Linked DNA regions of Kluyveromyces lactis. The main gene of each other region encodes a partner of the protein of the gene in region 2 in a complex. Links are inferred from orthologs where the notes say so. Each region holds a gene or a part of one and is shown on either strand. Other genes may lie near its edges.

What was found. Proteins that work in one complex are often made in the same cells at the same time.
Region 1: POP7 (region 2) and POP8 share a complex: the UniProt entries of both Saccharomyces cerevisiae proteins name them as parts of the nuclear RNase P and RNase MRP complex. The link is inferred for Kluyveromyces lactis from reciprocal best matches to the Saccharomyces cerevisiae genes POP7 and POP8.

The regions. Positions count from the first base shown.
Region 1 is NC_006041.1:923,422-925,762, reverse strand, and holds POP8 (ribonuclease P), read left to right. Parts: upstream 1-1,424; coding exon 1,425-1,841; downstream 1,842-2,341. Other genes in the region: PEP1 (type I sorting receptor), read left to right, coding at 1-1,062; DNA-(apurinic or apyrimidinic site) lyase APN2, read right to left, coding at 1,907-2,341. UniProt on the Saccharomyces cerevisiae protein: Component of ribonuclease P, a protein complex that generates mature tRNA molecules by cleaving their 5'-ends. Also a component of RNase MRP, which cleaves pre-rRNA sequences.
Region 2 is NC_006041.1:2,187,543-2,189,924, reverse strand, and holds POP7 (ribonuclease P/MRP protein subunit POP7), read right to left. Parts: upstream 1,020-2,382; coding exon 609-1,019; downstream 1-608. Other genes in the region: KLLA0_E24685g (uncharacterized protein), read left to right, coding at 1-530; PEX32 (Pex32p), read left to right, coding at 1,262-2,382. UniProt on the Saccharomyces cerevisiae protein: Component of ribonuclease P, a protein complex that generates mature tRNA molecules by cleaving their 5'-ends. Also a component of RNase MRP, which cleaves pre-rRNA sequences.

The sequences.
Region 1 (2,341 bases), about 1.3 Mb from region 2:
GTCACTGTCCCAAGAGACTCTGCAATGAGATTCTTAGTAATTGGATCCTCAGTAAATGTTCGTGGCGAAGAAACAAGAACTTATACGTTGGACTTTGTGGACATGTTTTCACGTCAATGTCAATATTCGAAAGATGATCTAAAAGATTTCGAATATATTTCATTAAGTCACCCTAACACCAAGGAGTGCTTGTTTGGACACAAGGCAAAATATTTACGTAAAAAGTCTGACGATTGTTATGTCGGCATGGCACCTCTCGAAGATAAATTTAGGATTTTTGCAAACTGTTCCTGTACCAGAAATGACTATGAATGTGATTATAATTTCATGCGTGTGTCTGATGGTACTTGCAAGTTAATCGATGGCTTAAAACCAGCAGATCCTAAAGACATCTGCTCCAAAGACAATTCCTTAATCGAATACTTCGAACCAACTGGCTATAGAAAGATCGCTCTTTCTACCTGCAATGGCGGATTGATGCTCGCTAACTCTGATAGTCCTCACCCTTGTCCAGGAAAAGAGAAAGAGTTCAAAGAGAAGTATAAAGTAAACCATACATCATTCTTAGCAATATGGATCTTTGCTGTTCTGATATTCACTGGCATGCTGTCATTCATTTATTATAGAGGTATAAAGAGGAATGGTGGGTTTGCTCGTTTCGGTGAAATTAGATTAGGAGATGATGACCTCATAGAAGAGAACAATACCGATAGAGCTGTAAACACAGTTCTTAGAAACGGAGTGTTCCTCTTCTCTAATGTTTACACCGGTCTTCAATATTTCGGACACCAAGTGGGGAATTTCTTCAAGAGAGGCTTAAGCAGATTTGGAAACACAACAGGTCCAAGTTATCAATCCCTCTTACACGATCAATTTTTAGATGACGCAGATGATTTACTTGTTGGACACGATGAAGATGCTGACGATCTTGCAAGTTTCATCGAGAATGAGGGTAATTTTGAAATCGGTAACGACGAAGAAGTTGACCTCTCATCTGATACACCAACCCATGCACCATATTCTGATAACCCAGAGGAAGCGAATCCTCATGAGTCAACTTAAAACATCAACACTTACCTAGTTTATGTTTTTGAAGATACTCGAACTCTTTAACATTATACATAATTTTCGTATAGAAAATGGATTTTAATTTAACTTTCGGGTAGTTCACTACTAACAGCTTATAATCTTTATAAAGTAAACATAGAGGCATATATGAGTGTCATACCTTGAAATTTTTTCAGTCTTTCTGATCAGTTAATCTTTGAATAAACCTTTTTCAATGTGAAAATGTGAAATTTAAACCTGGATAAGAATAACTAACAATACAAGAGAAGCGAATATTGATGTCGGCTCGATTCCGGTAGTATGTGTTCAGAGTTTGTCTAATCTCTCATCTTTTCGAAAAGGATCAAGGAACAAACATGGCTAAGTTCAAACCAGAATGGTTTTATTTTAAACTAAAGGTAACGTCGCATGATTCGGAAAAAGACAATGAGATCCAAGTGGATAAAGTAACTTGGCTTCAAATGTTGAATACAGCTTTGAAAAGATCTCACGGTGTATTTGGCGAAGCAATTGAGTACGAATTATTATACGTGGATAATTTGGATACTATTGCAAAGGTAAGCGTCAATGATACTGATATTTTTACTACTGCCATAAGCACTTACATAGCGAGCGATGAGTTGGTCGGTACCTCACTAATAATAAATGTGCTCGAACAAAGCAATAACCTGTCCGGATTGACCGTTCATGAGGATGATAGAATATGGTTCAAGAAATTGGTAGAATCCGAAGCCGAGATAGAAGCTGAATCCAAAGAAAAAGAAAGATTATAAACTAAATCATAAATATTGATGCATAAAATAATAATAACCCAGAATGGTGGAACACGGAAGAACGATTACTTCCATTGAAAGAAGCCACAAGATGCTTCTGGATCATCTTTTTCGCCTTTTGATCGATTGCACACCCAAAACTTTTTACCAAAGCTTTTGTCAGTCTTAGAGACTCGAAGAACAGCTTCTTCACCATGTTCACAAACTGGTGCTTTTCCAAGCATTTCCTCGAAAGCCTTCATATGTGCACTCTTGACGCGCGACTGAGGCTGTATCGATACATTTTTGTTTTGATCTTTGGAAACTGTTGCTGAGGCCAGAGCATTCATGCCGTTATATTGCTTGACATTCAGTGGTTTTACTACTTTGCCCGTGCTTGTCGTGGAAGGACTGGTGCTTTTGCGATTGGCCTTGCGGAACATATCTAAAATGTTCCCATGGTTCAAGAAATATCTCGTGGCAGCCTCAAATTTTGGCTTATTGAAGCTTTCATGTTTAAG
Region 2 (2,382 bases):
TTTCGAGTTTTTCTGGCCTTCACATTGCTTCGGCTGGTTCAAAATCGGTTGTGACTCCAAGTGATAATGCGGACCTTACAAAGGGTGGTAGAAGGAACCAAGCATTGACAAAACCGATCACCATCGATAGTAATACAGGAGAGGTACTGGTTAGGAAAACAACAGGTAAAACGAAAGTAAGAAGAGGTCAGAGCGCGGAAGAATATAAGGAACAACTTAGACAGTATTTCTTGGAGGAGAAAGGTCCAACGAGAACTGAGGAAGATGCCTTGAAGATGGAAGATTTTGATCTGTTGATTGAAGATGAGAGTTTTGACTATGCATTGAAGCAAGTACGACAGAAAATGGTCTCTTATGCTCAGAAATATTATTACGAAAGAGATTACATGAAGTGTTTAAAAGTATCAGAGCCGTTATTGCATAAGTTCGAGCCGTTCAATAAGAAAAACAAGATACGCAGAGAGTTAGAAGAACTCAGATACATGATCGAAAAGTCAAAAGCAAGGTTGGAATTGCAACCGTCCCGCTAGTATTTGATATGTCTACACTGAAATATCTATGTAACTCTATATTAATGTGCGCTTCCCATACTAATATTGATTACGCAATTATACAGGACTTATACGCACTTCAACACCGCTCAAAGTACGCTTTGTCAGTTCCGTTTCCCTGTCCTCTGTTGAAACCTCATTTCCATCTTCATCTTTACCATCATCAGCGAATACCTCATCCAAAACATCTAATGTCTTCGTTAATATGTCAACTTTGTAATCACCCATTGTATTGAAGTGTGCAGCAACTGATAGAGTTTTGAAAACAGCTTTACCCATGCCCAGTAGTGTAATGTATTCACTTTTACGTCTATGCAGGTTGGAAAGAAACCTGTTGGTTCGTTTCACCACGGAAATGTAAGGCGATGAGCTCTTCACGTAGATTGTAGTTTTAATTTTATCATGAGAAAACGTCTTCACTGTCGGAAGTTTTCTTCGTAACTGATTTAAATCCTTAGTATTTCCCATAACGTGGTGTTGTAAGGTTTTTTCGAACGCCCACGAAGCAGATTGCTTCTCTTGTCTTCTTAGAAAAGCCGTTTCTCTTGTTCACTTCTTCAGGCCAATTCAAAATCAGAGACTTTAATTAAAAGGAAATATAGATTACAATACCGATTGTGCAAATAACAAGTAAAGGGCAAGAAAAGAAAACGGCGTCTGGATAAGCTCAAAATCGGTTATTAGTGCATACAATATTGTTCAGATGTACCATGAGCAACAAGAAACTTCATGTCAGATTTGTTTCTAAATCGAAATCAGTTAATCCCCCATATAAACCACAAGACTTAGAGCCCATTACAATTGCATGTCTTTATAGATTATATCCTTGGCTCCTACTGCTGGACCAGTTATTGGATAAACTTATGTGGCATATTGACGATGTTTCCTTACAGTTGATATATATTATATTGCTATGTTACTCAACAGCGTTGGTTGTACCGAAGAATACTTCCTTACTTTTCCAAGCGTTTGATATATGGTTGGGGTACACAAGCGTATTCATTCTTGCTGGCACTATGTTTTATTACAATTATACGCTATGGAAAGAGCTTGAACAGAGCGAAGCACCCACAATAGATGAAATCACTCATACTTTGGACTCTGTTCTTGAGAAGCTTAAAACGGTTCAAAATGAAGTCCTCGGTACAGACAAGGTAAGAAAACTTACTAATATCAATTCACAAACCTTTAAGATAGTGGCTCTTCTGACAGTAATTCATTTAATTACCGTTAGTTTTTTGGATGTACGAACATACTCAGTGCTTGTCATTAGCCTTGTCTCCGTGTTCCATTCAGTGTATTACCAGAGCACGATGAAACTCCTATGGAGGTATTTGTGGATAAGGCGATGTTACTATTATATATGGGACAGCGTACCATCGGAATCCAAACTGGAAACCAACTTTCAACAATACAAGGTGATTTGTGAGAGTCAAGTCATTCCATTCCCTAAATCTCTACAAGGCTTGAAGGGCCAAGAGCTACAGGTTCAACTACAAATGTTAATCCTTCAGGATCCAACTAAGATTGATCCAGAATCCGATTACGTACACGTCAAGATCATCGAATACAACGTTGATGAAAACGAGAGAAAATGGAAGCAAGAGGGCTGGACCCCAAAATTGCTACCTTACGAAAGAGCTCACTTCTCTAATTCATTCACCCAAACTCCATCTGTAACACCATGGAAGTTCCACGAAGAACTACCTTCCGATTGGATCTGGATTGAATCTACTTGGGTACCCGGCAGCTGGCAATACTGTGATGCAAAATGGAATTTATTAGGTGCGAACGATTCGATTGCATGCTTCACTCGTAGAAGAACTTGGAA